Linked DNA regions of Drosophila melanogaster. The protein of the gene in region 2 interacts with the protein of the main gene of each other region in a biochemical or structural test. Each region holds a gene or a part of one and is shown on either strand. Other genes may lie near its edges.

Region 1 (8,462 bases), about 16 Mb from region 2:
TCGATTGCTGTTGACATTGTGCCTGAATTTCAATTTGATGTCCACGAGGCGGCAGCTCCTGTCTACCATAAATCTTGCTCCTCAAACTGCCTAGACTCTCCGGGTGCGTTTCGGATGGGATTGGATTGGATTGGATTGGAATGGATTGGATTGGATGAGGTTGGCTTGTCTGTCTTCTTGCACGGGCGTTGGGATTTGGGAGTTGCAAGTGGCGGTGAGTGTCTACTTCGTCCCCCAAAATCCGAAGGCACTAAGCTTGTGCCCCATTTTGGAGGCACATCTGCTTTATTGTGTTGCTGTATCTCTTGTATCGCCCATCGCCCGTAATTGTATAATTTAAGCGGAAATTAATTGACAGGTGCAATCATTCAGCTCTGATTATGCACAATTACTAATTGCAGTTAGCGGAACACAAAAAAGATGTTCTTAGTCTATGTGAATTGTATTACTTACGTACATTTTACTGTTTCATCCAAGTGTTTTATTCATTTTCCGATGTAATCAAGCATCTTTGATTTGCCAACGCTTCCTTGATTATGCATCATTAATAAGTGAAATATTGGGGGATTATACCCTGTACTTTTTTAGTAAAAGAGTAGGTTTGTATTTCTTAAATTAGGTGGGAAGTACAGGACTAATTGAGAATATCCTCAACAATTTCGATTAGTTGTACTCGATCAGCATGTTTCTGCTTTAGTTTTCTATTAAGTGCTTATTGCTAATAGGTATGCATTAGTCGACTAAACGCAAACAGCTGGCAAATGTTTTTGGTTCGCTTCAAGTCCTTCGAGTTGAATGCCGATTTGGAAATTCATGGACTTAGTCCTGCTAATCCAGTTGGATTGAATATAATACTCGCATGAGATGTGGAATCACAGACAATATGAATTATTACAAAATGCGTATGCTGCGCCTTCATATTTCATATTGGGGCAACTATCGATTGGTGGCAGTGGCAACATTCGAGTGGGAAAATTCGTTGACACAAGTCTTCTGCGGAGTGGGTATTAATTAAGGATTTTCTTCGAGTCTTAGTTGTAGTTGCAACCTTTCGCTTTGAATTGCCATATTTATGTGGAGCAAATATTGATTGGGCTGCCCCCCAAAAAACTCATCCAGCAGAGGATACATACATACACAAGCTCAACTCGCCCTGAGTTATTTGTGAAGAAAACGAGAAATTCATATATAATTTAGACATTTATTTTTGTTCAATTTTTCTCTCCTTATTTATTTATCTATAATTTTTTGCTATTTGCATTTCTTCTGTCCCTTGTCTCGTGCTGAACATTTCCGTTTCCTAGTTTGTTTTATTTTATTTTTTTGTTTTGTTTTTTTTTTTTCATCGGGTGGAGTGTGGATCCATTATTTTGGAAAATCGAGTATGCTATCTTGGGGTTTTGTGGCCCAAAAGGATTCTATTTTGGCTTACGCTTTGCTGGCCTTTATGCCAGATTAGCTGTTTTCATTCGGCGATTACTTTGAATATTTCTCTATTTGCGTACGATATATATATATATATATGTATATATATATGTGTATCGGTCAATATGTCAAGTATCTTGATAATCTGCTGGCTCGATTATTTATTGCCCTTAAATTGTGGGAATTAAAACCAAGCGAGCCGACAGCCAAAAACTGAAAGTAAAATAAAAATACAAAATGGGAAATGAAAACGCTTTTGCTTGTATTTTGTTATTACTGTTGTATTCTTGAAATGTTTTGATTTTTTATTTTCTTTGGCTTTTCGTGTGTATTTTTCAATTGGATATTTTTACAGTTGAATTGGTTTGTTTCTTCTCTCTCTTGTGTTGTTGTTGTTTTTTCGTGCTTGTTTGTGTGAATTTCACTAAATTATTAAATAAATAAATAAATAAATAGTTCGCTCAATTGACGAATTAATAAACCCTCGCTGCCCTACCATAAATAAATATAATTAGTAATACTTTCGAGTGTGTGTGTGTGTGTGTGTGTGTAGGGGATTACGATGCTCGATTTTGTAACGCATTAAGTGACTTTAGTATAATTTAATTTAATTTAACTCGATTTGCTTAATTGATCTGAATTGAATGGTTCTTTGCTGTGGTTTTCCATATTTTTTTTGTTGTTTTTGCTGTTGCTGTTGTTGTTGTTTGACTAGTGTGCGACTTAATAGTATTTACAATTTGAAACAATTTGTTAGGAGGGCTAGTTATACCTAAATATATATAAATTATAACACTAAATCCTACAATTCGGAGCACATTATGCTTATGGATGTATAAACAATTTGATACAGTTTGCTGATGCTTCGATTCGATTCATTCGTAGTAATTGCGGCCAATAAATACATAATTTAAGAAAACAGACAAACCATTAATTGAAAACATGGATAAATCATTTAAATCATAGCGAGAGGCGATTAGTTCTGTTTCTCCTCTTTGATTTTCCTCTTGATTTTTACTTGGTTTTTACACGCGAAATAAATTCAGTCTTTGGTTCTATCACAACATTTGTTTACACGTTTCGGCTTCGGTTTATGTTCTCCTCACTCCTCGCACTTTCTTTTTGTCCAGTGTATTTCTCTTGATTTGTTTTTTTTTTTTTTGAGTTTGTGTACTATGTTTCGGAACTGAAACGTTTAACTGCAAACGGTAACGATAACGAGATAATGCTAACGAAAAGCAAAAGCCAAACGAATATCGAATTAGTTTTGAACTAAATCGTTGAGTGAACTTTTCTTTTCCACCAACTCTCTGTCTCTCGATCTCTCCTGAAGCTCAAGCAGATTCCGAATCCCTGCGAGCATGCTGACGACTCCGAACCTCAAACTTAGGACACTCCCAGGTCGTGCAACAGATGCTGGGTAATCACCTCACCCTGCTCCTCCATCAGCTGAGCGGTCACCGTGTTGATCAGGTTGAAAACGATGGCGAAGACGGTGAAGGCACAGTAGACGCCCAACGCTAGCCACCAGATGAGCTGCTCGTACTCTCGGTGACCGAAGTTCTTTAGCACCAGAAAGCCGATCGTTAGTCCTGCCAGGGCTCCCGTCAGGTGGGCAATGTACGACACCTGGGGACCCTTGGCGAAGGCGCTTCCATCGAAGTATTGGGTGTAGAGAGCATAGCCCAGATCGCAGGAGACTGCAAATGGAAGAACAGAAGGGATTCAAGTTAGTTAAGTTAAACATAGAAGAAAAAGATGTGACAAATTCGTGTTTAGGTAGGATAGATTAGGTTCTATAGATTCTAGTCATAAGGTGTGGGGAAACTCACCAAAGATGACAACGGATCCGAGTTGCGTGGATGCGCTCTTCATGTGCGCATAGTTCAGTGTAATGTTGGCCAGATGTGCGGCCAACAGGGCATAGACGCCACCGCTGGCGCCCACCAGGAAGACCTCCGAGTCGACGACACTGGTGCCCAGGGATCCGGCAAAAACGCCCGCCATGTAGATCACGCCGATCCTGGCCGTGCCGTGCATCACCTCCAGGGGAATGCCAAAAAACAGCTGGATGACGATATTGAAGCCCAGGTGGAACCAGTTGGCGTGCAGGAACATGTAGCTAAAGAAGCGCCACACCTGCAGACGCCGGTCCGGCCGATAGACCAGCACCGAATCCGACGGAATCGGAACGGGTAGCCCGAAATTCTGGGCGGGCATTGTGTAGCGGTCGTAGGCGAAGATGGCAATCTAAAATGGACAGAGACGCAAAGAATTGGGGGTTAGTTCTGGGCTCTCGCTCTGATTTATGTTGTTGCTGTCTGGCACGCGACCACGTTCCAAATAAAGTCTTATGAGAATGCTTAGGGGCGAGTCCTGCCAACTTGGCAGGGCTTCAAACTCACTAAACTCATACGCCCCGTGGGCCGCCCTGTTTATTTGATATTCGTGCTAGTTTCTATACGAAGCAAATTATTTCCAATACGAATGTAAGGGGTCATGTAAAAGTGTATTGTTTATTTTAAACTCAATGTTCCAAGTTACCAATTTCGCTATCAAACTAACTATCATTTCCATCTTCTCATCTTCCACTGTTTTTCACATGACAATTTTTGGTCTGCCCTTAAAAAATAAAAAAAAGAAAAAACTACGAACGGTCTGGTTTCATAAACTTTTCTGTTCGCTTTTTTTCCTTCGGCTGTTTTGTTGTTCAACTTGTTTACAATCGATTTTCGGGGGCGCCAGCGAGTCAGACGCAGAAAACGAAACACGAAAAGCGAGGAAAACTCTCGGAAAACTTCCGCCCTTCGTCGCCGCTTTCCGCCCCCTATATCATTTTTATCGCTCTTGGGATGAAAGTTTGCGGCTTCTTTGATTTAATGGGTTGAGTTACTGAGTTCGCTGTGTGTGTGCTTACCTCAATGATGGAGATCACTAGGATGAACCAGGGCCAGTGCTGGCGGTGGACGTACTTCAGCAGGCCGATATCCTCCGACTCCGGAAGTGGCGTGGCCGGGATGGCCTCGCGTTGCATGTAGATGTGCTCGCCTTGGCGGGTGCAGCAGGTGCTGCTCGCCGTGCTGCAATCGGTGTCGTACGACGAGGAGTTGGAGGAACTGGAGCACGCGGCGGGAATGTCAATGATGGTCTCCTTGGCGGCGGTGGCATGCTCCTCCTCCTGCGACGCCTCCTTCTCCTTCTCCTGGCCCAAATCCACCTTGGTTTCGTTTACATTCTGCGTTAAGTTCTCCATGCTGGCGCCGTTGAAGAAATTCTGGAGAAAGAGAGGAGCGCATAAAGTGTGTAATTAATTAACTTGAACCGAACAATAAACAAAAATCAATTAAGTGCATAAGTTATTCATAAAACGCAGCACAAAACAAGAGCAATTACAACACTTCAGAAAAACCAGAGTGTGTGGGGAAATGCAGCAGAAATAAAAGAAAAGCGAAGGAAAAGCCTGCTTCTTTGTGGGTAAGAATTTTGTTTATGGCCTGGGACACGGATTCCGATGCCTGCAACTTCCTGGCTGCTTTTCCCCGAAGGGAAAACTGGGTCAGCTTGTGTGAGCTAACCATAAAATTTGATGGGCCAAGTTTGCTTTTGTGGCCCGAAATTAGCTGGACAAAATTGAAGATGTAGCTTGTGTAGCATCTACGCCGTTACATAAACTGCACTTTCAGCCCTGAAATCATCTTCGCTAATGGCCAACTAATCAGCTAATGGCCAGGCATTATTGTAATTCATTGCCCAGAGACATTTCCTCACAAATTATGTTAATCGCATTCGATTCAATTACAGTCACAGCACAAATCTTCTTAAATTCCCCAAACAACTGTTCGTCGCAACAAGGAAAAAAAATAACAAATTCATTGCCTTGCTCAACAAAAAAAAAAAAAATAAACTTAAAAAAACGCGTTTCTCCCACTCACACTCATTGTGTTCGCATATGCCCCCTCTCTCTCTTTCGCCTCAAGTCGCATTGCACACACGCACCGTTGTTGCTTTTGTGTCTGCTACCTACACTGCTCGAAAAAGTGAGTGGGTGCCGTGCCTTGGCTGGCGCTCTTTTCATGTTCTTCATTTCGGTTGCCTAGCAATTTCAATAAGGCACGAAATCGCAGTCGGCCGCTTATTAATTAATTTATTTATTAACTTTAATTGCAGACTGCACCGAATGTCCATGCGAGCATGAAGAAGAGATGTCGAAAGCGGGCTTTAAGACATAATGAATTAATTCATTCGGCCTTCTTTTCATCATTTCTTTCTTCTCATTTTTTTTTTTTGTCTGTTTGGTCAGAAACATAGTTTCACATGGCCCGCGGTGTAATTTGCATTTTTTATGCTTTCTGCTGCACTCGCACCCCTAAAAAAAAAAACGGGCAAAGGGTGCGAGCGAGAGAGATAGAGCGAGCGGGCACACAGGTTGAACAAACTCATTACGCCTCTAAGTTGAAATGCTTTTGTTTTGCCGCTGTGACAATTTCTATTGCAATTTGCACATTTCTTGCATATCCCTTGTGGCTTGTAGCTTGTATCTCGCAACTCATATTTTGTATCTTGTATCTTTTAGCTCTCGCGCATTTTCTCATTAGGGTCGGGGGCTTACCTTAGGTTTTTCTGCCTGTCGCAATGTTTATAATCCAAAATGCGTGGGTTTCTTGTAATCCAAATGTCTTTAGTTAGCTGGCATATTCGCACGTTTTTCACTCGCTTTTTTCGGCTCGCACATTGGTAACTTAGTTTTGCTGCTCGTAAATCCAGGAGCTTGTATTCAGATATTCTTGAGATATATATTCTCTGCTTGCACCCACACACACGACAATTTGAATATTTCTTTCTTTCAGTTTCAATTTCAGTTTCGAGTCGCAGTCCGACTTTCTCAGTTTGATGATCTCGCGCTCGCGGCTCGCACGCAACTGACTTTCGAAAGGCAAGGCAGCCGGCCTTTATAAGTGCTCGCTGTGCGGTGCAGTATAAGAGAGCCACTTCGAACATGTTGTGTTTTGGTTCGGCCGTATAAGTGTTGCATGGCACATCCGGATCTTGTCTTGTGTGGGTGGGTGGGGTGTGCGCACTGCAGTCACTCGACTGCTGCAGCTCGAGGCGAGCGGTTCGAAGGTTTTTCGTCGCTGGTTATTCACTGGTTTCCCCCATCTGCCGCCTTGCCACATAACGGTGAATGACTCATCCAGACGGGCCAGCACTTCTTGCCAATGCCACTGACTAACAAATGCGTCGTCTTCTGTCTTCTGTCTTCTCGCCGATCTCCAGCGATCTGCGCTTTGTCATGGCCTACTACGCAGATCTGAGCTCTAATCTCTGCAATGTTGCGAAATTCTAGCAAGGCCTTTGCGTTTAATTGCCTTTCAGCAAAACCGACTTTTATCTCATTTTATATTATTACTAGTAATATATATTAACGTACTAGAAGAGGTTTAAGCTCATTTTAGTTGTATTTGTAAAGGTACCAAGTCCATTGTTTTGCTGAGTTTCCCGTCGATGCCTTTAAACAAAGACAAGAAAGTCAAACAAATTGTTAACACAATTAAAGATGATGAAATCGGTAGTAGCAGTCGCTTTTTCTTTAGCTCCGCACTTTCGAATAGTTTCCAGAAATAACTTCAATGTCACAATTGCTCACAATGGTAATGTAAATTAGTTTCTAAACTAAAAAAACTAGCAAAACTATTTGCTTGCTTAGAAATAGTTTTAAAATTCCTCTATTGATACGTAACCGTTCAATAGCTAAAACATTGCTTCTATAATTCTGTTGTTTTTAAGGGAACGTGCCACTGCAAGTGGCCAAAAATGCAAATAAAGTATATCGGCTCAGCAATGCAGAACATGTCATGGAATCGAATTCGAAACCGAGCCCCGTCCTGATTCCCCTTGATTCCCCGATTCCCCGTAGAAGATCATCATTGTCAGGGGTTTCGAATTTCACACCTTTTCCAGCGAGAGCTCCCTCGGAGGCGTTGAGCGAGCAGATAGAAATCGGTAGCAAAAATAAATATTTATACAAATTATTAGGCAGCCTGAGCCGTTGCAGTCACGAGTTCGCGGGAAAGGTCACCACGGCATGTTGCACAAAAGGAGTAGCTTTCGGCTTCCTGGCCGAAAGGATCGAGACGACGTGGTTACGTGTTTTGCATGATAAGCTGGGAATTTACACAGATCTAATAGATAGATATACCCATCCTGGCCAGTCATCCTCATCGGCGGCATGAAAACTCCCGCATGAAAAGTGAAAATATTTTCACTGGGCGCAAAAGAGAGGCGAAACAGATTCAGAGTCCTCGTCCTCGTCCACTGAGATTTATGATGACTTTTTAACATGTGCGTGCAACAGGTAAGCAGATACGAAAACACAGTTGCTGCACTACATGCCCATGACCAGGCACGTCATCAGCTCGGAGTTTCTCAGCTCATCTTCATCGTAAATCCTTTTTTCCCACGTTCCCTCAGGTCGAGTTCCTCCATCCTCCATTGCTGCGTTTTCATTGTGCCAGACACGCATTGCCAGCACTCCACGGACATGGACCCACTGGCACTGGCAAGGTCAGCCACCGTACCAAAGCAATCTCAGCCACCCAAAACACTCGAGCTCGAATTCAGGTAACCGAGTGGGCGTGGGTAGGACGTGGGCTTTTCCCACGCAGGACAGGACGTTGATTCCTGGCCCGTCGCCCGGGAATTTCCCCCAAAACATGTGCTCAACATATGCGAGTGCCTCATGGCATCGCGAATCAGGAAATTCCGCCCGCCACTTGCGCTTCCCGCCGCACAGCAAGGTGTCCTTTTTCCGCTTCCCAGAGTTTCGTTTCGCGACTTTTTGTTGCAGCCGCACTTGTCTTCCGCAAGTTGCGCCAAATGTTTCGCGATGTGTGTTTTTCCCACCGCATGTTTTCCCATTTTTCCATCCTGCCCAAGGATCTTAGCACTAATCATCCGACAGGGGCGCGTCTTTCAAGCAGCTTCTGAGAAGGCAGATGCAAATGGGATCGTGCGATCTGGATGATGCCCTGAGTCCTGAA
Region 2 (8,064 bases):
CGGGCGGCGATTGTGTGACAGAAACAGGTGAGCATCAGGAAGCCGATCCAGTTAAACAAAAAGGCCACAATGAAGGCCGTGATGAACATGATGTCCGTGCCGAGCAAGTTGTCGGTGGTGGACAGACTATTTTCCGGATCGCTGGCATCGATGGCGATGAACGTGAGTGCCGGCTGGGCAGATCGCACAGCAGCGGCTCCATCGCGCAGCGGATTTGGCGGCAGTAGCGGATTCGGCGGCGGCGGTAGCTGCTGCGAGGAGGGTAAAGTCAAAAAGGCGGGCGGCAGCTCTCCGTTCAGCGACTTTTCCATTTGAACCTCCTCGTACGTGGGCAACTTCCCGTGTATTTCTGGCGGCAGTTGTGCATTCATAAGGTCCGCCTGGCTCGGCAGCTGCACTTGCATCTGTATCGGGATCTGACTGGGATCGGGTGTGGCCAAGGCCAGCGGTGGCATCTGAGCCGGCAGTGCTACCTGCTGGCCATGGCCAACGTTCGCCTCGTACGGTGGCGGAGCACTGAAGTCCGCCTTTGGCGGTCCCAACTGATCATCCCCGGGAGACGGCTGGTTGTTGTGCGGCATGACTGGAAATTACAAACGGAAAACGGGAAAATTAATTCAGTGCTTAAGGGGTTACAAAGCATATGAATTTTTTTGACAGCCTAAGGTGACGTCTCAGAAAAGAAGATTCTTAAGAAATTCTTTTCTTTCTTACATACTAAATTTAAGATATCCTTATTTTCGTGTAGCTTAACAGATCAACTGTTTAGTATTTACATGCATCTCTGAAATAAAAGGAAAATCAAGGCCATGGTGAATTTTGTGCAAACTATTCCCAATCAAATTCTAAAGGTATTCGAAATTTGCATTATCTAAATTGAAAGTAAAGCTGGTGATTTAGTTCTCGCTTTTATTGACGATATTAGTTCACGCGTTTTTTTTTTTAATAAAATTAGGTGTATAATAAATAAATGGGCGGCTAGCTGCCAAAATTGCATTGAATTATATCTAGATTTATTTTTATCTCTCTCTGAGCAATCAGTTTTCGTTCGTTAATACTTGATCTAAATGTGTTATAGGCACGTCAGTAGGCACTTAGAACTACGGCATTCGCCATCTCAATCAGATGGCAAAAATAATAGTTTCGTTTAGCAGTTAAAATAAACAGTTGGACATGTTAGACATTTAAAAACAAATGAGCAGCCAGGCTAATTAGTTAGCGCAAAAGTTCGTTGCAATGCCTGGGGCGATTGGAGGCTTTCGCTTGAAGGTGGGCCTCCTCCAGCGATAGGATGCGGCAGGGTCCAAAGGGACGTCTCACTGGACGTAAGGGTCGCAAGCCATCCACCTCGTCCATGCCCTCGTTCTGACAGCCACCGTCGGTCGTTGTGGTTGTGGTGCTGTCGTGCAGCTTTTGTTTTTGCAGCTTCTCGTGTCGCAGATACAAAACCACACAGCACATGGCCATAAACAGAAGGGCCAGCGTTGCTCCGCTAACAATGCTGGCCTTCTCTAGCATCACACGGTTCCTGGTTGGCAGGTACGAGCCATCAATCTCCTTGTACTCGCACCTCGGACCCATAAATCCCAGCGCACATTCGCAGTTGTATAGGATTTCATTGTGGATCTTCACCGTAAAGCAGGTGCCATCGTTCAGGCAATACCAGGCGACATAGGTCGGTGGACAGGCGAAGATCGGGAAGGTGACATTCGGTCTCGGCGTTGTGGATATTTCCACATTATCCGGCGGCAGGATCGGTGCAGCTGTTGGCCGCGGCTTAGCGATGGCACGCGAGGAACAGGCGGCGGTGAGCGGTAGGTAAGCGCCGATTAAAGCGGTGGCAAGCAGCAGCAGATCCTGGGCTCGCATCTTGATCTTAACTCATGGCAGCTTACTTGGGAATGTGGCAATGCAGTTTAAGGTGTTTTGTAATGTGGAATTCTTGGCTTTGGCTGGCAGGCGGCTGCAAAACAAAAACGAAGTGCAATTAAAAACAAATCAAAAATGTAAGCTCGTGTTCGGGTCTGTGTGGGTTAATTGCCTGCCTAGCACCGCCAGCCGCCTCCTTCTCACAATTACAACCTATGCTCCTCGACCTAAGTGAGAACGAGAAACAGAAAATCGAATTTCATAAATTTTTAACAAAAAAATGACATCGTTTATTTACCTGGCCGGAATCGCGAGCGGAACCCAAGCGGCTGTGGCATTTGCACAGCCTGCATTCATTATCAATTGGTTTTTCTGTTTACACTCTCACTTAACATAGCGAACACTTCAGGCACTTCAATATATAAAAACTGTTTAATACAAGATGTATTTAAACGTATAAAAAATTGATTTAACCTTAGGATTTCGAAACGCCTTGTTATAAACAAGATCTTTTCCGGAGAAAGAATGAGCTTCATTAGAATGTAACTGATCCCGTTGCGTATATAAACAAAATAATTCGAATGATCAACAGAAACAACGATGTTGAGTAATTCTGCTGAAACAAATACATCATTTGTAAGCAACATTTGAGTGGCGACCATTTGAGTGGGCGTAAAAAACATAAACAAATTAGTGCTCGCCTTAGTTGTGATCCACAATAACAGTGTCGTTTTCAGAAACACTAATTTTCGGAATTCCACTTAACGTAAATTAAAACTTTCTAAGTGCTTTCAATAAACGCTAGTCATGCCAACTTAACTGTCTAAATTTATATTAGGAAATATGTCAGTGAAATTGAACTATTTTTTTATTCAAACATGCAATATTACATTATTAATCAAAACTAAAGTTATATTCTTCTACTTGGAAGTGAAGGAAAGAAGAGCGAAACAGTTGCAATTATAATAAATATACACTTCGTTTTAAAAAGTTTTGCTTTCGTCACCTGTTTGGATGTTAGCACATTAAATCTAATATTTGTACTTTATTTCAAACAGTCAATTATATATAAGATAGCATTTAGCTTTTATTTTCTAGGACTCTCGTCACTAGTCGGAATCTCAATCCACAGTCGCGAGTCCTTGGACTAAACCGTGTCCAATTGCTTTGTAAAGCTCAACGGAGCCCTAAGCCCCATAAAATTTCCCCTTTCCTCCCATCACATGTGTGGCACGCACCTACGTCTAAAAATAACAACAACAAAGCTCACGAGTGAAAGTTGACAGCTGAAATGGCAGGAGAAGAGTGCGAGTGCGAGTGCGAGTAGGACAGTGCGACAGTCGCAAAACACAAATGCAATTAAGATGACCTTTCGGTCAATTGAAATATAAACGGAGCCAAACGAGCAAAACAAAAATAGTTCAAGCCAATAAAGAAACTGCGTGAGTGGGCTTAAGTTGGCCCTAATTTCTGCGAGTGCATATATGGGTTTTTTGTATAGTTTTTTTTTATATCTGTGGGTATGTGGGTGAGCCGGACGTAAGCTTGAATAATGAGCTAATAGGCGCCAACGAGCTAAATGAGCACCTGGTGGCTTATCAAAAATTGACCTCACAAACAGCAGAGTACACAGAAATAAATTTTGATATCATATATGATATGATTTTTGTATCAGAATACAAAAGACTTTGGTTTCATATGCACTCAATAATTACTTTTGTATACACACTTTAAAATACTTCAATAAATATAGGAAAACATAAACAGTACTATTTGTATAATTAAATTTAGAGGTGTCCAATTTTTTTCGTGCGCAGGAATATCTAAAATCACAGTCAACACAGAGAAACCGTATTGATAAGGTGACAAATACCATCCACAGGTGCGGAAAGCAAGTGGATGCTAGGCAGTAATTACAGTTACCTGTGGATGAGTCAGATGTGCGGGCATTTGAAAAATTGCAAAATTGCACGAAACCGAGAGATTGCACATTGTACAGTTGAACTTATCTGCGTTTTGCCAATACATTTGGTAATATCATTTTAAATAAGACTCTATAGTGACACACAAAGATTTGGAGGATTTCACAATCAATCCCAATGTAAAGCGACTTTGCTCATTCTTATTTTTTAAGAATTCACTAACAATCGGGCTCAAGTACACTTATCGTTAACATGCTTCAAAGCTGGCATATAATTATTTTCAATGTAATATATACATATAAAAACTTAGGTAAGGTTCTCTGGAAAATACACTGGTTTTTCCATTGAAAAACAATAGATGTTTAAACCGAATAAATCGATTTGCTTTTAATGCGTATGCATTCGGCTAAAAATAATTTTTGAATCTTTAAAATAAATAGAAAAGCTTTTACATTTCTAAATGTCAACACATATGGAATTACCTTTGAAACAGATGAGAAATTTTGTGCAAAATATATACATATTTTTTTTTAATAATTCCATCTGGATTTGTAATTCCAAAAGTGTTTTTGTATCTAACAATATACAGTATTAAAAAAACAGTATTTGGTATCTATAGAATAATATGTGGTTTGTCATAGCCAAGTTTTACTGCGTATGCGTGTATGTAAAAATAGGATTGGAGAGGGAGTTAGAGCTCTCGAGAGGGAGAAAGCAACAGGGCCGTGACAAAAGGCGTTGGAAATTAGGGAATTGCCGTGGAAAAGTAACAACGCAGTTTGGGCCAGGTTTTGGGTTTCAGCCGGAGTTTGTTCGGTGATAAGAAATTTGAGCGCGTGGACAGCTGCCAAGCAGCAGGTGTGCGCAAGGGAGAGGGCGATAGAGGAGGCATCAGTGGAATAAAGCATAAAGTAAACCAGTTAAACGGGACCGGGAGCACAAGAGAGAGGATGAAGATGCAAGCGGAAGAAGCTGAAGAAGATGCAGATGGAGCTGTCTGAATGGAAGGTCTCTCAAGGGGCAATTTCCTGGATTGAATGAAAAACACACAGGCACCGACAGCTGCAGTGGTATTGCAGTGGAATAGAGAAAGAATAAGATTAGGAGCGAAGAGGGGAGGCGGTCGACTGCGAGAACGAGTTTCCAAGCAAACGGCGCTTGTTGTTATTGTACAAGGGCAAATGAATTAATTTACTTGAGTAAATATGAATTAAATAAACAAGTACACCGACACAGGGGTAGACTTATCGGAGTGTGCACTTTTTTTTTTAGCGTTTAGCACCTGAGTGGCGAAATCTAGCAGAATTAAGATTATTAATGTGCTAAACAAAACATAAACACATGTACACACACAAACGCACAACTGGGGCTAAAGTGCTGAGGAGGGGGAGAGAGAGCCTTAAATCTCCAGGAGTGCTCCTGTAACGGTTATTTGTTTCCCTTTCTTCGCCCTTTCTTTTCACGTCTATTTCTGTACCCGATTTTAATTCGATTTGATTCTAGTTCGCCTTTTCTATGCCATGTTCTATTTATTCACCTTGTTTTCTTCTATGCGTTGGTCGATTGCGATTGCGTTCGCTTTTCTCTTTTGCGCAGCGCTCTCTCACGTTTCCGTTTTATTGATTTTGTTCGAATTTTGTTGACTTGTTGTTGCCAAACACGCACACAGCTAATACTGTTGGTTTTTTGGCAGAACTGCGACAGTAGGCGTTTCGCTTTCAAGTGGCTTCACTATACGCAATTTAAATAATTTAAAACTGGGCTCACTTCGCGAGCGAAGCGAAAAAAACAAATGCACCACCACGAATAATCTTCGATTTCTGAGCTAGTGGTGGCCAGCTGCTGGGCAGTCCGTATCGATTGTAGGGATGTAAGCGTGATAAGCTATCGAATCACATGAAATTAGTTATTAACATCGGAAAATAAACTTGCGTACTTGAATATAAAAACCTGAAATTATTTTGTACACTTTTATAGTGACAAAAGTTTCAAATTGCTGAAAAAATATCAAGAAATAATAATAATAAGTTTATTAAAGCTGTTCAAAAGTTTGATTAATTGTCTAATTCATAAACAGTATACGGAATACCCTAAACGATGAAAAGACAAGCAACCCGAATATAATCGATAAGCCTAAATAATGTTATTTTCCCTTCTACTCATCACTAAGCTAAGAAAATTTTGTAAACAACGACGTGGACGTAGTAAATTTAATTAGAATTTAGCCACAAAAATGCATAAATGTGCTATATTTCTTCTACTGGCTTTAAGTGTAAGTTATGTCTGAAGCTAAGACATGTTTTTAATATATATTTTATACCCTACAGTGCCAGCAAATTCAAGCCGAATTGACGGCCGCCGACTGCCGGGCGTTGGGTTTTATTAAGGCCCAGTTAATGTGTTCCAGTTGCGAAAAACTGGATGATTTCGGATTGGATACCATCAAGTGGGTTCAATAACATTTAATTAATCTAGCTTTGGAGTTGTAAAGATACCCATGAACTATGCTATAATCATTCCATAAGAAGACCTGAAAATTGTTTAATTAATATGTTAATCTAATTAGATCAGGTTAAATTTCATACCTCATTTTAAATATTCCAACCAAAAATGCTTAGCTTGACTTAGTAAGCTCCTCCATACCACTGACTAAATATGATTCTTCCTTCAGTTTTTAATAACAAAAATTATATTAACTTTTTATAGTTTCTGCTTGAGCCCATTGCTCTTTTTTATTCATCCAAAACATTTTTAACATTTCAGGCCTCAGTGTAAGCAATGCTGCACTTTGGATCAGCAGCCGGCGGCACAGCGGACATATGCCAAGGCAATTCTGGAGGTGTGCACCTGCAAATTCCGGGCCTATCCGCAGATTCAGGCCTTTATTCAAAGCGGCCGACCTGCCAAGTTCCCCAACCTGCAGATCAAATACGTAAGAGGACTGGATCCCGTGGTTAAGCTCCTAGATGCCAGTGGCAAAGTGCAGGAGACGTTGTCCATAACCAAGTGGAACACAGACACTGTCGAGGAGTTCTTCGAAACGCATCTGGCCAAGGATGGTGCCGGCAAGAATTCGTACAGCGTGGTGGAGGATGCCGATGGAGATGACGATGAAGATTACCTGCGAACCAACAGGATCTAAAATAAGCATACCCAAAACTGTAGATTAATAAAATCCGAAACAAAACTATAGACCGTACCATTTTCTTTCAAAATCATTGAATATTTATATTTTGTTAAATATATTCTGTTCAAGAACTAAAAATGTGTAGACGTGAGATTAGTACTCCAAACTTCTGGGATGTCAAGCCACTGAATTTAAAAAATATAAACATCAAGATCAGGGATATACATAAAATTGGCTTGTAATATGAGAGATCTAATCTAACTAAAGAGATTTAGTTTTTAAAAGTTTTTAGAGCCACTGCAAGGTGGCGTGAGCTTTTCTACGCGCCACCGCGGAAAAGCTGTGGACACAGTTTGAGAGTAACTGACAAGCCAGTTACTGCAATGCGACGCCGTGGGAGTTTTCGATTCATAAGTATAAATTAAATCATTTTATTTGTTATCTTGTTATCGATGGCAAAGGAAAGTTCCCGGCTGAGGCAACAAATTCGCGGCATTGTAGCCGAAATTCTTATCGCAAAGACATCACACCACACCACACCCCCCCCCCCCCTTTGTGGCCGTCAGCAGTGACGTAGTGGGCTCACATGGTGGGGGTCCTCAAGTCGATCAATATTTGATCAGCCTGCTGGAGTAATTGTGGTAACTGAAACGGCAAACAGCATATTTCTGCCCGCCAAAATCGTAGCTGATGTCTATTTCCGATCTGTGACGCAGCCTTGACATCGCCGTCTTTCCGCTCTCTTAATCTTGTTTTTATCCGGATACCGCGCATGATCAAACAGTTCCTAAGTCAACCATATATTCATATAATAATGAGATCGGTGCTCTTAGAAAATATCACCAAAAAGTAGTGACAATTTAATAATAATGTCTTGCCTAACACTTTTACCTTAATAACTACTTTCTACTTTGGAATACTTGGATCAAATGTTTTTAAAGTGACATGAACTGCAATGTTTGATATCCTGACAAAGGGAGATATTTATTAAATTTATTCAAGTTGGGCTTGGAAGATCTAAACTGTGAAAAGCTTAAAATATTGTACAATGTGGATTATTTTATAGCTGACCTCCATAAAAATGTCTTAAATATAAATAGTATTGCAACGTGCAGTTTATTTGGATGCGATGAATATAAACAAATA
Region 3 (8,783 bases), on a different chromosome or scaffold from region 2:
AAAAACTTTCAAATAAATGACTTATTAAAAGTGACCAAATAAATAATATTCATTAACTTTTTTTTTCAAATTTAACTCCCTTTCAGCGTTGCCAGATTGGGTTGCATGCGGGATTTGATTATTTTTATTCACAAATTCTGGGTAGAGGGCCACTTGTGCTGCTCCGGCAGCTGGTCACACTGTACAGTCGCGCAGTTTGGTTTCTTTGGTGCGAGAAGACGGTTGGTGTTGTTATTTTTTTTTTAGTTCGCTCCGCTGTTTTTAGGTGCTACGCGCTTTATGGCCCGCTCTTAATCTTATCGCAAATCAAATCAAACCGCGGCCAATGAGCACCGTAATTTCACTTTTTGGCTAACGGTAACGGCACTTCCGCTCTCCGAATTCGATATTCAAACAGTCGCATTCCATCGAAAAGCGAAACAAGAAGTGGCCGTAAAAATGACCGTGAAAACAGTGAATCGCCAGCAGAGCCAAACGCCCACCCAGCAACGGCAATTGCATCAGCAGCGGGACGTCGAGAATGGGCTCTATCCCACGATTTCGGACGGAATATGCCACATTATTATCGGATAGAATACAGGAAATGTAGGATTTAGGTAAGGGAATAATAAATTTCTAGTAGTTTTCAAGTCATTTTGGAGAGCACATAGTGGTTAATTCATGCACCATATTAATGCATGGGAAATTGGCGAAAAACAAACACTCAGCCGGCACTTCGCGGCACTCACACCTACACAATCATACGTGCGTGTGAATGAAGTTGCTTGTGCTTGTGGTGGTCTGCCCTGTTGCCGTCTTCTTCTCACCCTCGGTGAAAGTTGAGTTCAATGAATCATCTGAGCATCGATCCGCTATGGCGGCGATCTTCACTCTTCGCACTCACTCAACAGGGGGATTCTATCTACGAATCCATCAGTTTCGGCCGCTTCGATTCTAGTTTAGTTAGCACTCTCTTCTGGTTGATTTGGGCAGATTCATATATATATATGTATATAGGTATGTATGATCATACGATTAGCATACGAGATAAGCTGCCAATCCAATCCAAACACAAGGCGCTGGAAATCGGCATTCCATACACATTCCTACTCTCTTTTGGCTGGAAATCTTATCCGATTTCCCTCGCTTCAAACATCAAAATACTCTGTTTGGGTTTCCCGAGCGTTGATTCATTAATCTAGCCATGATATAACAACCAAAATAATATCAAGCTATAGAATATATTTTTTAAAGAAAAAAAATCAGTCTGCGGGCATCCAGTTCTCAGCGAGAACTTAGCGGCATCCAGCTAATGGAGGAGACAGTAGTGGCTTCGCCACAGCAGCCATGCCTTCGTCGTTCCGTACGTCTAGCGGGTAGGATGCGTTCGCAGAACTATAGAGCCATTCCCAAGGTTATGAATTTGCGGCGCAGCACGCGGCTGGCGGGAATCCGGGAACATGCCACCTCCGTTGTTGTGGAAAACGGGACGCGCCTTCAAAGTGCAGTCCAAAAGAAACGCACGCGAAAAGTGAAACCTGCGCCCAAGGCCTGGATGGCCAATAATACTAAATGTTTACTGGGCCATCTTAACAATGGAAACGTTAAGCAATTGCAGGAGATTCCAGGGATCGGTTCAAAGACCGCCTCTATTTTGGCCGTGCACAGGTCAGTTGACATACGTTCATTTGCGTTTTACCCAATAACCCTTAATCCTTAATCCACATTTTTCAGATCCCGCCTGGGTTGCTTCAAGAATCTAATTGAAGTCAAATCCCTGCCCATTTGGTCGGGAAATAAATGGAAACGATTTTCTCAAATTAACTGTCTTGACACTTGATACAATTACTAATTAAATAGCATTTTAATTCGAATATAGTATAGTGATTGTTATTTATGTGGCATATACTTTGATTTTACAACTATAGTAGGAGTAAAAAAAAAGGAGCCGGATATCCTTAAAGAAACAGTTATATATGTGATTTATTTTTTAAATAGGCTTACCTAGGATATATTATATAATATATTAAATTAACAAAACAAGTTGGCATTTTAAATTAAAGCACAAATTGATTGTTATAAAAGTATTAAACAAAAAAAACTAGTCAAAAAAGAAAAACTTTCAAATAAATGACTTATTAAAAGTGACCAAATAAATAATATTCATTAACTTTTTTTTTCAAATTTAACTCCCTTTCAGCGTTGCCAGATTGGGTTGCATGCGGGATTTGATTATTTTTATGCACAAATTCTGGGTAGAGAGCCACTTGTGCTGCTCCGGCAGCTGGTCACACTGTACAGTCGCGCAGTTTGGTTTCTTTGGTGCGAGAAGACGGTTGGTGTTGTTATTTTTTTTTTTAGTTCGCTCCGCTGTTTTTAGGTGCTACGCGCTTTATGGCCCGCTCTTAATCTTATCGCAAATCAAATCAAACCGCGGCCAATGAGCACCGTAATTTCACTTTTTGGCTAACGGTAACGGCACTTCCGCTCTCCGAATTCGATATTCAAACAGTCGCATTCCATCGAAAAGCGAAACAAGAAGTGGCCGCAAAAATGCCCGTGAAAACAGTGAATCGCCAGCAGAGCCAAACGCCCGCCCAACAACTGCAATTGCAGCAGCAGCGGGACGTCGAGAATGGGCTCTATCCCACGATTCCGGCCGAGCGACGATCGCCCCCCTCGCGTCCGCAAACGCTGCGACAGGACACCATCGATATGGAGGAAATACCGCTCAATCAGACGAACAGCCAGGAGCCAGAGGATCGGCGCAAAATGCACGAGATATTTGACAAGGTATGTAGGACTTATAATACTCGCAATTCCCTTCCCCAGCACAAGTGGCAGCTCCTCCTAAGTATTAGATCTTTTCTGGTTTGTAGAGCCAGCTAACCAAGTAGTAGCCATGGTAACTATACCTATAAAGGTATTACTGTTCACACGGTGTTACAACTTAGCACTATATCTTTAAAGTAAATCTATGATGATTTAACGTTGATTTAATAGTTATGCCACATTATTATCGGATAGAATACAGGAAATGTAGGATTTAGGTAAGGGAATAATAAATTTCTATTAGTTTTCAAGTCATTTTGGAGAGCACATAGTGGTTAATTCATTAGTTAGAACCAGCTACGACTAATTATCCCATTTAAACTGGCTGGTGGTAGGCAACAGAAGGTTAATGCTGAGATCTTGTGAAATTGCACCATATTAATGCATGGGAAATTCGCGAAAAACAGAAGAACGACTGTAATTAAAACACACAGCCGGCACTTCGCGGCACTCACACACACACACTCATACGTGCGTGTGAATGAAGTTGCTTGTGCTTGTGTGGTCGGCCCTGTTGCCGTCTTCTTCTCACCCTCGGTGAAAGTTGAGTTCGATGAATCATCTGAGCATCGATCCGCTATGGCGGCGCTCTTCACTCTTCGCACTCTCCCAAGAAAACCCCACCTTTAACCCTTCAATGGGCCGGCGGGCGAAAACCGACACGATCAGATGCTTTTGTTTGCAAACATGCCAGTGGAACAAACTTAAGGTATACATTATTAAAAAAAAACCTTGTATCTTGTGGTGATTAATAAATACGTGAGATTTGATTCCCGTTTAACATTAATGGGTTAAGAATTCGATTATAGTGCCTAAATAATCAACTGCTATATGTACTTATATCATACAAGCATAATTACACTTTTCGGTGTATTTAACCCATCACCGCTTGTCTGTCAGTCAATTTTGCACTTTCGCAGAATTCCGTATCACATTTTATAAGCTTTTTTTCGCTGCAGTTTGTTTTCTTAAAGTAGAAAAATCGTGTGTGCTGCAAAAAAAAATGGGGGGGAGGGTGGTTGCCTACTGTTGGGGGACTGAGTTTTCTTATCGTGACAGAGGGTTGGGGGAAAAAGACCAGCAAAAAAAGAAGAAGAAAAACCGGTTATAAATTATTGTTTGTTCGCTTTGAGTTCTGCCTTTGTTGTTGTTGTTGCTCTTGCTTTATTCTTGGTGGCGTTAGTCACTTAACCCCCAACTGACACCCACCGCCCACCTGTTTGCCCGAGTGTTACCATTATCAATTTAACAATTTGTGGATTTCGTCTTTTTTAATTCTACCAGTGCGATTGCCTCAACGTGCAACGTCCTCTTGATTCACCATTTGTTTATAGCCATATAGAGTGTGTAGCGTTCATATCGCGTTCAATGTACCCCGGCAACAAGGGGATTCTATCTACGAATCCATCAGTTTTGGCCGCTTCGATTCCAGTTTAGTTAGCACTCTCTCCTGGTTGATTTGGACAGATACGTATATATGTATGTATATAGGTATTCTAACCATACGATTAGCATACAAGATGAGCTGCCAATCCAATCCAAACACATTCGATGCCGCTGGAAATCGGCATTCCAGACACATTCCTATTCTCTTTTGGCTGGAAATCTTATCTGAATTCCCTCGCTACAAACATTCAAGTGGCCAAAATACTCTGCTTGGGTTTTCCGAGCGTTGATTCAATAATCTAGCCATGATATAACAACCAAAATAATAGCAAGCTATAGAACATATTTTGTCAAAAAAAAAAAAATCACCAATCTCAACCAACATTATTCGTTGGAAAGTTCAACTTGAACCCGGAGGGGACTGTATCATTTTGATATTTTTGAAATATCATGTTTGATATGTCACAGATAACAGTCTTTCTGATATGGGAAAATAGCAGATAGATGACCATTTTCGTTGATATTTTTATTCATTGAGCTGTGCAAAAGAGTAAATCTTAAGTTGTCTGTTGGCTAATATAGGAAAGTTTTGGAACTTCAGGTGTTCCAATGGTTTTACAATTAACTTTTTCCGAAAACCATATTTTTTACAAACTGACCAAGTGGCTTTCGTGTGTTCCGAACACACTTGACGACTATGACTAAGTCCCAATCCCCGCGAGACTCCGTTACCGCTGGCAGCTTATCGCCTGGTTTTGATAATAACCAACTTTTTGGTTTTGTTTTTTCCCCCTGTTCTGTTTTATTTTAAGAACACCTAAAGGTGTAAAATATTAGTTTACGACTGGAAAGGAGGATACATATTTATGTGCATGTACATACATGGGCACCTATCTAATTGTCTATAGTATATGCCAATGTCTTTCCTCTTTTTTTTTGCGTGAATCTAACTTTTAAGTGCGAGCGTTGACTTTTCGCTGGGTTTTCTTTGTTATCCCAGTTCCTAGTTATTTACTTTACTAAATACCTTAACCATACTTAAAAGGTCAGTGCGCATAGCTTACCTATGACAAATGTTTTTTATGATCGAAAACCGAGAATACAAAGCGATAAGACAGTAACATCCATATAGGGACTTTCTATTGGCGAAATGGCAATTGAGAATTTCGAACTTCTGAAAGGAATAGGTGACAAATGTTTTTTTTTTAGCAAAATCCTTTTGTATTTACCAATGGGGATTATTGACGTTTTGCAAAAACCATCAGTTGCGTTTAGTTCACAATAACTTTGGATGCCTTTGTGCAACTTCATGTGACTTTGTTTCGATTTGTTTTCGATTAGCCCCGTTTTGGATTTCTAGTTTCTCGTCTCGATCTGTGGCATTTATTCCTGCCCATTTATGGCCACTTTTTGGTCCGACAGCGTTCGCGGCTGTGTTGCAAGTGCTGATGGTGATGCAATCAAAAAGGAGGAAAATCACTCAACAAACATAATAATATGTGGGTACTTGTTTATTTGTGAACTCATGCTGCAGGTTTGAGTGTGTTACGCTATGATTTAGAATAGTTCCTCGGGTGAATGAGATTCATTCGGAGTCTAAGGGAAGGTCAAAGAAAGTGGAATTTTGGCTCTTGGGGGCGAGGCAACTGGTGGCCTGCTCCTCCTCTGGCGCATCCACAGCATCGTGCCAATCCTGGGAATCGTGCTCCTCCTGCTCCTTCTGATCCGTTAGCTGGAGCAGACGCATCCGCAAGCGCTGCTCTTCCAGTTGAATGACTGAAGGCCTAGGAGCAGCCACTTCGCGAATAAGCGATGGCATGGCGGTCGTCCAGTTTGGCAGCAGAGTTAACCCCGTTGCCCTGCCCTGCCGCTCCAGACGCTGCAACTGGCGGCGCTCCATGGCCATCAGTTCCCGCTTGGCCCGGGCCCGCACCTGGTCGTCGCTGGTCGTGGTGCAGAGACTCAGGGCCGCAAAGATGCCGGCCATGCCCAGGTAGAGAACCAGTACGGTCACAATGCCGGACGATTCCTGCAGCGGCTCCTCCTCCTCCGCGACGTCGCATGTGGGCGTCGGTGTCCAGCCAAGCCAAGAGGTCACGTGGCGGGTCATCTCCATCAGTTGCGACATCGTTCTCGGTTGAATCTTGAGGCGAAGATACAAATATATATAATATATGTATGGTTTATACTAAATAATTATGTCATTAACCGATGACACCAAGCAAATGGTAGTTTCTTTACTTCCTTCTAGGGAAATGTATTCAGTAGTTTATTTTTATTACAGCCTAGTTTTAAAAGGTAGGATGAATGCGCTGATATGTACCCAATTGTAATCGGTGTTTCCAAGATGTTGTATTTCAAGATTTTTTGGATTCGGTGCGGGCCTGCCCGACCACTCGGAATTTCAGCTAGGTACTGAGTGTTCGAATCCCTAATGTTTTCGAACCCCCATGACGCTTTAGTATATGGCCTACTGTGTTTAAATGTTGACTTACCCAGATTCTATGTGTGAGCTTAATCATGATGACTAACCAACCATATGTATATGCCTCTCACACAGCACGACTCTGACAGAGATGGGCTGATCAACACGCACGAGCTGAAGGAACTGATCTCGGATGGCTATTGCCGGGACATTCCCGCCTACATCGCCGACCAGATCCTGAAGCGCAGCGATCAGGATAACGACGGCCACCTGGACTTCGAGGAATTCTATGCGATGTCCCTGCGCCACAAGTGGATGGTGCGCAACATGCTGACCCGCTACTGTCGCTACGTTGTGCCGCCACCGAAGCCCTTAGAGGGCGATGAGCCCGACGGTGCCTACGAGAAGCAAATGTCCATCTGCCCGCCGCCGCTCACCATGGTGCTCTTCTCGATTATCGAGATAATCATGTTCCTCGTGGACGTCATACATTTCCAGTGAGTAGTGATGGTACAATTGGTTGTATATGATAATAACACTAGTAATCTGCTATGTTCAGGGACGATCCCAACTACCAGGATCGCATAGGCGAGAGCACAAGTGGACCAGCGGCCACCCTGTTCATCTACAATCCGTACAAGCGCTATGAGGGATGGCGCTTTGTTAGCTACATGTTCGTTCACGTGGGCATCATGCATCTGATGATGAACCTGATTATCCAGATCTTTCTGGGCATCGCCCTGGAGCTGGTGCATCACTGGTGGCGCGTGGGTCTGGTCTACCTGGCTGGCGTGTTAGCCGGTTCCATGGGCACCTCGCTAACCAGTCCTCGCATCTTTCTAGCGGGCGCATCGGGTGGAGTATACGCACTGATCACAGCCCACATTGCCACGATAATTATGGTAAGTCTTTGTTATACTATTTGATATTATTCCATAATTACCTTATGGTCGCCAAACAGAACTACTCGGAAATGGAGTACGCCATTGTCCAGCTGCTGGCCTTTCTGGTCTTCTGCTTCACCGACTTGGGTACCTCGGTGTACCGCCACTTGACCGACCAGCACGATCAGATTGGCTATGTGGCGCATTTGTCCGGTGCCGTCGCCGGTTTGCTGGTGGGGATCGGTGTGCTGCGCAATTTGGAGGTGCGGCGATGGGAGCGCATTCTCTGGTGGGTCGCCGTCATCGTTTACTTTGCCCTCATGACCACTGGCATCATCATACACGTGTTTGTTCCCGACTACTTCCCAAAACAGGAGTACAACTAGCCCCATCACTAGCTCTAGCCCTAGCCCTAACCCTTAACCATGTCCAAAGTGCACTTCGATATTGAGCCGAGGTTGCAGTACGCACAGTACTATATATAGGATTTCTTCTGACCATGTGCCTATGCCAGCTGCAAAAATAATTTATTTTTTTACAACTTGCCATGTCAGCTTCATTCCCAATCCGAAAGTGGTGCAAGCATGTCGTACGTATTTTTATATATTTATATACATACATACATATATAGTAACGTAATTATGCCTTCCTCATAATTCTCTTATACAAAAGACCGACCGCGGTGGTCCGCCGTATCGATTCCTTGTTACTCGATATTGCGCATCCACTTAAGCCGTAACCAAAACCCAGACACTAGGCAGGCACATACATAGCCACGTAGCACATAAGAATTCTTTTTCATATGTATGCACAAAAGCATAAGCAAGAAGCGCTCTCGCGCAGATCAAGTAAACAACCCACTAACCAAGTACATTTAAGATTTTCTCACACCATTTGTTTCAGTCTTAAGCTGATATTCAATCAATAAAAACGCAAAGCGAATTCATTCGAAGTTTTTATTCATTTCGGTTCAAATACGGATCATTTATTCGACTCAAAAGCAAAAATTATTTTACTATATGTATTCTCGATCCACATGACGCGACGCGGCGCAACGAAATGTCGACGGAGAACAAAACTCAGAGCTGCATTTGTATTACACATTTCGTTGACATTTTTTTTTTTTCAAGAAAAACGAGAAATATCTTTAAACAAAGTGTACTGTATATTTTTGGAGATTTATTATTAAGATCTTATATATTTAAATGTAATAAAAACAATGTCTTTGTACGAAGAAGATGGGTGTTTTGCGTATGATTTTTATTTTTTTAATTGTG
Region 4 (5,901 bases), about 16 Mb from region 2:
CTGCACTTTTTAGCTTGTGATTCATATTCCGCTGTTGCAATTGCATTTGTATTTGCACATTGCGCTGGTTAGGCACTTTTCCGGCCGAAATACCACCCTCCCCCCACCACCCTTCACAGATACGTCCCTGTTCTTCCAACTCCAAGAAGAACCCCCCTTCTGAGTTTGGTGTGAAATATTTACGTGTAGACAACATTCCACTAACTGCAGTTGCAATGGCAACTAAAGTTCCCGTCCGGGCGAAGCAAACACCGTTTTCCACTTCTCCTTGGCATTTTTACCCACATTTATTTTCGGTGCATTTCCGCCTGCCATTTGCCAGGTTGCCTTATCCTACCTGAGTTTAAAAATATAAAAATAAATCTGAGGGAAAATGGTTGGCACTGCAAGTGAAGTACCCTGGAATTGATACTGCAAGCAATATATGTACTAAGATATGAATAACAACATCTAGTCGCAGTATAAACAAACCAAATATCATTTTAATGACCAAAAGTTTGAGTTTTCCCATTGAATAATTACGTAGCTTCACTTGCACCATTTTCCGAGCAATCCGACTGGTCAAGTTTGTGTAGAAACCCACACCAGATGCATGTGAATCCCAATAGACTTTTGCACCCTTGGCTGCTCCATCGAGGGTATTTGGTAAAAGGAGTTCCTGCGCTATTCATCTGCGCCTTAGTTCGAGCATAAACATTTCCTAAACTTTTATCTAATTCAGCAAACTGCAGCAACAACGTCAGCAGCTTCATCCATTTTGCAAGATTCCCAAGACATTTCCACATTTTCCGACTCATTGTTCTTGTTGTTATAGTTATTGTGTGCTCCATCTTTGGACTTTTGTTTTTCTTTATTTATTGTTTTTTTTTTGTGTGTGGATCTCTTTTTTCGCATTTTTAGCGTGTTTCAAGTTGTTAGGCATTCAACTTTTCACATCGCTGCTCTGCTTATTTTTTGTTTTTCCGCCGCGAAGGTTTTTCCTTCAGCCGACTGTGTGTTGTTTTTTCGGACTTTTCGTTTCGCGTCGGTTTTGTGCAACACACACACACACACACGCCACTCGAGTTCTTTGTTTGTGTCGCTTTGAGACTTTGGGGCGCCTCAGCGTGGCGGGGGCGTGGCTGGTCGGTGGGCAGTGGGGGCTGGCGGGGGTGCAACTTCGAATGGTTGCATAATCCGGCAATTTCTTACGGAATTTATTCAATTTCTGAAGCACTAACTAGCAGCATATATACTTGTTATTTGAAAGTTAAATTGATTAGCTTAAAAGTTGAAAATATTTGTTAACATTTTTGGTTCAGAAAAGCCTAGTTGCACAACAATTTTTTACACACTATTTCGCTTCTGCACTGATTTATGAGCTCTATTTTGTATGCGTTTGTGCGAGTGAGTATCTCAAAGATACCATCAATGTATCTGTATCTGTATCTGGAGTGTGTGCGTGTGCACCTTGGCCGACAAGACAAACTACAAAACTGCTTGAGCCATTGTCTTGCAACAGCTCAACTTGAAATGTCTGCCTAGATTAATGCGAATGCGAGAGGGTCTGACACTAATGAAGGTCAAAGGTGATCCAAAAGGGAAGAGCGGTGAAGGGGTGAAGGGGTGAAGGGGTGGTGCGGAGGTGGAGACAGCTTAAGAATGATTAAACACTATAAACTGTTGACTTCTGCGCTGGAAAATGGGGGAGAACGACACAAATCAGTTGCTGAATTTAATAGCAGTCAGAAGTTTTGGCCAAATTTAGTTCAGCAAACGGAAGCAAATGGTAATTAAAGTCTTACAACTTGGATAGTAATTTTAATTCACAGCTTTCCTTTGATACAAATATGACTTGGGAAACTTTTTTTTACCATATATCTTTAAAACTTTTTCACTTCTGCACACGTTAGTAAAAGAAAAGTGGCCCGAAAATGGGTAAACAAAACTAAGCCACCCTGAAATCAGGTCTTTGGGTCTTTTTTCGACTTTTTTTCATTTTTTTTTTTTGTTTGTTTCGCTATATTGTTTTTATTTTCGGCGTTGCCTCTCTCACTCTGACGCGTATAAAAGCAAACTTGACACATTTAAAAACTATATATTTACAAACAAAAAACGAACAAGAGACACGAAAAATTAAAATGCATTGCGTATGATTTTTTCAAGAATAGCCAACGCATTAATTTTTTCGTATTTTCATGCACTCGACAAAAACTTCACCAGTGACAAAAGCCCAAGGCAGCCCCAACTCCCCTGTCATTTTGTCCATGATTTGTGCATCTGAAACGGATCTTGGTTTTGATTTCCATTTCGATTTCGAGACTTTGGCACTTTTATGTTTAGCAAAAGTTTCACGAGAATAGAAAAATTTCGGAAAGTGAATAAAATTCGCATCGTTGCGATTGAATGAAATACTTTTCGAGGCTGCGTAAATAAATCAAAGTGTAAACAAAAGTGAGCCAAATGTGGCGTCTTCTCGCCCTGGAGACACACGAACTTGGTGGGTTTGGTGGCAAGATGGATGGCCAAACTGGGAGCTCCGAGGACCGCCCACACGCACAGACAGACCCTCTCCATCGATCGTTGGCCACTCCTGCCTACACGCACATGGGTTTCCATTCGAAAAGAGACAATGGAAATCGAATAGCCAACCAACCAGTAGCTAGCTGGCCAAGAAGTTCTGGCCAGAAGTTGGCCAGAAGTAGCACTTGTCCGAGATCCCACAAAAGATATCGAAAATGGAGCAGGGCAGCCCACACATACATATATATATAAAAACCGGGTGACCCGGGGGAGATTTCAACGGAAAGTGCTTGCCATTTGCTGACAGCTCGGGCGCAAACGGTTTTTAGTTAAATCCGCGCTCCACGTTGCGTATACGCAATGTGCGACTGGTGGCTGGCTGGGTGGGTGGGAGTGGTTGGTAGCATTGCAGTTGGCCCGTTGCAAACGGCAGCAAATACGGATGCCGAACGACAAGCACAGATGTTTTTACAACCCAAAAGATACAAAGCAGACAGAGATACTGATGCTGAAGCTGCTGCCGCACTGACAGATGCAGATTTACATGCACTGAAAACAAAAACTGCGATGGCTAACTAATAAGATTGGTTTCTGTTATAAATAGAGGATGGATATTAACGGCAGTAAAAGAGAATATTATATATTCAGTGCGATAATTTTTCGCACCATGAAGTACACCTTTATTTTTTGCAGTGCTCGCTCTAGTCAAATACGTTCAGCTCAGCATGGTTGAGTTTGGAGCTGAGTTTTGCCAAGTTTTAAGCCGATGGATTTATTTTTTTGGGGGGTTTTGCCGGGATCTCCGTGGGTGAGATATGGAATAGATGGGGGATTGAGAGTGGGAATCCTAGGCGGGGGGTGTTATGACTTACCGAGGGGGGTGATGAAATGGTTGACTCTTGTGCAGGCCATCCGGGGGGGGCAGGATTATGTGAACTGGTTGCAGCTTCTATTTTTTATTTCTTTCGAGGATGAGCGACAAGTTACTGCGGCAGTCGATCCGAGCAGTAAATGCTACGAACGGTACGAATGTTCGGTGCTTTTCCACTAAGTTTTTCCTCGGTGGTTTTTCTCTACTTTTCCAGTGAACCGTTAGTTGCGCGTGCTGCCGCCGGTTGCCGTTACAAAGTACCGTTCACAACTGAGCTCGTTTTTTATGCGGCCCGATACTTTTATAGATTCGCAAAGTGCCGGCCTGGCCAAAAACCGAAAGGGGTAGAGCCTCCTTACCGGAGGGTTTACATGTGCACAGTCCGCTGTGTTAGTTGTGCGTGTGTTTGTGTGTGTGTGCTTTTTTTCCATTTTGCACCCCTTTCGAAAAGCCGGCTCTTGCTGGCCAAGGTAAGAAACCCCCCCCCCCCCCTGCAAACCGCCTCCCCCTTTTAAGCCACCCTTTTGAACAATAAAGCCAGGTGCAGCAAACATGTTCGAGGTTCGAACGCGTTGCCAAGTTTTCCTTTGTCGTGGCTTTTTGCTTTTTTTGGCCACCATCCGGTGAACGGTACACGCAAAGGAGTCACGTGAGGAAGTGAGATGGGGCGAACGAGTGAAAGGGAGAGGGATAGCCAGGAGCCAGCTGGCTTTTACCGGCAGCTGCAGGTGCGACAGAGAAAGTGGAGAGACGGAGAGCGAGAGGGAGACAGTTGCAGATGCAGCCGCCGACGGATAATTAACAAGTCACTTATTAAGTTAGCATCTTTGTCCCCTTAATCCATTTGTGAAACAGTGTTTTCCCTTTTTGGCTAATTAACTCAATTATTGCATTACCAAATGTGAAACAATTGGGGGAAACAAAAAAAGCGAGGCTTATGCCTCAAATTATATCTGGCCAATGTTTTTTCGTTTGCAAACTGATCTTGGTACTGTAAAAAAGTAAAAGTTTATGTATAATTAGATAGATTTGATAAAAAAAACACCCAACGTTGATTTCTTGCCCCTGATAAATAAATCAAAGCACTTCGGTCGCAGCTGCTGTTTTCGCCTTGTTTATTGGGTGTCAATAGGTGCATCCATCAGATACAAGACACGAGATACAAGATACAAGACACGAGATACGAGCTACCACCAGCCACGAGATACTTATTTATGTGGGCTATCTCTGGCATCTCTTGGGACCAGTCATCTCTTTTGTATCTGAACTTGTTAACATATCGAGTATAATTTTGATGTGTTGTGGCCTCCTTCCATTTCCCAGCTCAAATAGCAAATAGCAAACAGCAAACATCGAAAGGGCCCAGATACACTTAACAATTGCAGAAACATCTTCATCAAATGGGCCTCATTCTGCTGCCGCTGACAGCTGATGAGGGCGCTGCCCGACCCTTTGTACCGCCCTAGCCCCCTCTCACTCCCACACAGCAGCTATCTCGCTCGCTCGCCCTGCGAATACCACCTCGAATCGCGCAGATTGGATTTGAATTGACTTCAAGATGAATAAGGTGGCAGTTGAATAGGGTCTATGGACCCCCTTTTTTTATGAAATTAAGGGTGCCAAGAGGATAACTGTTAATATAATATAGGGGTGCTGTTTGCAATTTGAATTAAATGCAAGCTAGTTACTATAAAATAACTAAAACTAAGATTAAAGTTTCTTCCACATTACTAGATAGTTAATATGAAGAAGGTAGCTCGATAATAAATTAAAAAGGCACCAAATGCTTTGGTTTAAAAGTTAGCACTAAATACTAGCAACGACTAAAAAGCTTATAATTAATATCTTGTGCCGCAAATGTTTTTCCAGCGCGACCAAAGAAAACACTTTCAATTCAATTCCATTACGCGCAGTCGTAAAATAGAAAACACAGGATAAACATTTGCCCATAAAAATTGCATGGGCTAAAAAGACAATTTTTTAAGCTGTCATTTTTTTCGTGTTTTGTATATTTTTTTCCTCGCTCATTTTCACTCTTGCCCATTTATTTTTTTATATTTTCTTCAACGTGTTTAATTGCACAAAAAAAAATGAAGAAAATGAAACGAAAACAAAGAAAAAATCATAAAAGCCAAAAATAATACACACAAAAAACAAGGTGAAAATATTGCGCAAAGCAAAAATAAAAAATCACAAAAATAACAAAAGAGGCTACAACAAAAATCAAACAAATTCAAACAGCCAGCGAAAAGCAAAGGCAAAAAGCGATTTATGCAAAACACAGATAAGCCGAAAAGTACAGGAAAAAAAAACAAAGACGATTAGGCGATTTAACGCACGCAAAATAAAATCCAATAAAATGTGATTACGGTTGGGTGGAGGGATGGAGGGGGAGCGAAAGGGACGGGGCGAATCGAACAGATGTTCGAACAACAAAAACATCAAAAATAACAGTGACATGCAGTGACGTAGGCGATGAAATTTCGGGGGTTTTGGGGCAAAAGCAAACACCTGAAATCATTGAAATG

Evidence for each region.
Region 1: of the proteins of Krn (region 2) and rho, one has a biochemical effect on the other in vitro, tested with the Drosophila melanogaster proteins (2 studies listed by BioGRID).
Region 3: of the proteins of Krn (region 2) and rho-4, one has a biochemical effect on the other in vitro, tested with the Drosophila melanogaster proteins (one study listed by BioGRID).
Region 4: of the proteins of Krn (region 2) and ru, one has a biochemical effect on the other in vitro, tested with the Drosophila melanogaster proteins (one study listed by BioGRID).

The regions. Positions count from the first base shown.
Region 1 is NT_037436.4:1,461,703-1,470,164, reverse strand, and holds rho (rhomboid), read right to left. Parts: upstream 6,355-8,462; 5' UTR 6,035-6,354; intron 4,700-6,034; 5' UTR 4,679-4,699; coding exon 4,343-4,678; intron 3,676-4,342; coding exon 3,258-3,675; intron 3,126-3,257; coding exon 2,812-3,125; 3' UTR 1,221-2,811; downstream 1-1,220.
Region 2 is NT_037436.4:17,648,664-17,656,727, forward strand, and holds Krn (keren), read right to left. Parts: upstream 5,618-8,064; 5' UTR 5,329-5,617; intron 1,964-5,328; 5' UTR 1,870-1,963; coding exon 1,216-1,869; 3' UTR 899-1,215; downstream 1-898. Other genes in the region: Ndfip (Nedd4 family interacting protein), read right to left, coding at 1-581; CG7484 (uncharacterized protein), read left to right, coding at 6,025-6,063, 6,119-6,237, 6,555-6,933.
Region 3 is NC_004354.4:11,597,555-11,606,337, forward strand, and holds rho-4 (rhomboid-4), read left to right. Parts: upstream 1-2,283; 5' UTR 2,284-2,532; coding exon 2,533-2,772; intron 2,773-5,688; exon of another isoform or gene 5,689-5,782; coding exon of another isoform or gene 5,783-6,325; exon of another isoform or gene 6,326-6,340; intron 6,341-6,520; exon of another isoform or gene 6,521-6,640; intron 6,641-6,757; coding exon 6,758-7,119; intron 7,120-7,181; coding exon 7,182-7,524; intron 7,525-7,583; coding exon 7,584-7,892; 3' UTR 7,893-8,734; downstream 8,735-8,783. Other genes in the region: CG2533 (uncharacterized protein), read right to left, coding at 5,783-6,325.
Region 4 is NT_037436.4:1,368,354-1,374,254, reverse strand, and holds the start of ru (roughoid), read right to left. Parts: upstream 3,628-5,901; 5' UTR 3,375-3,627; intron 1-3,374.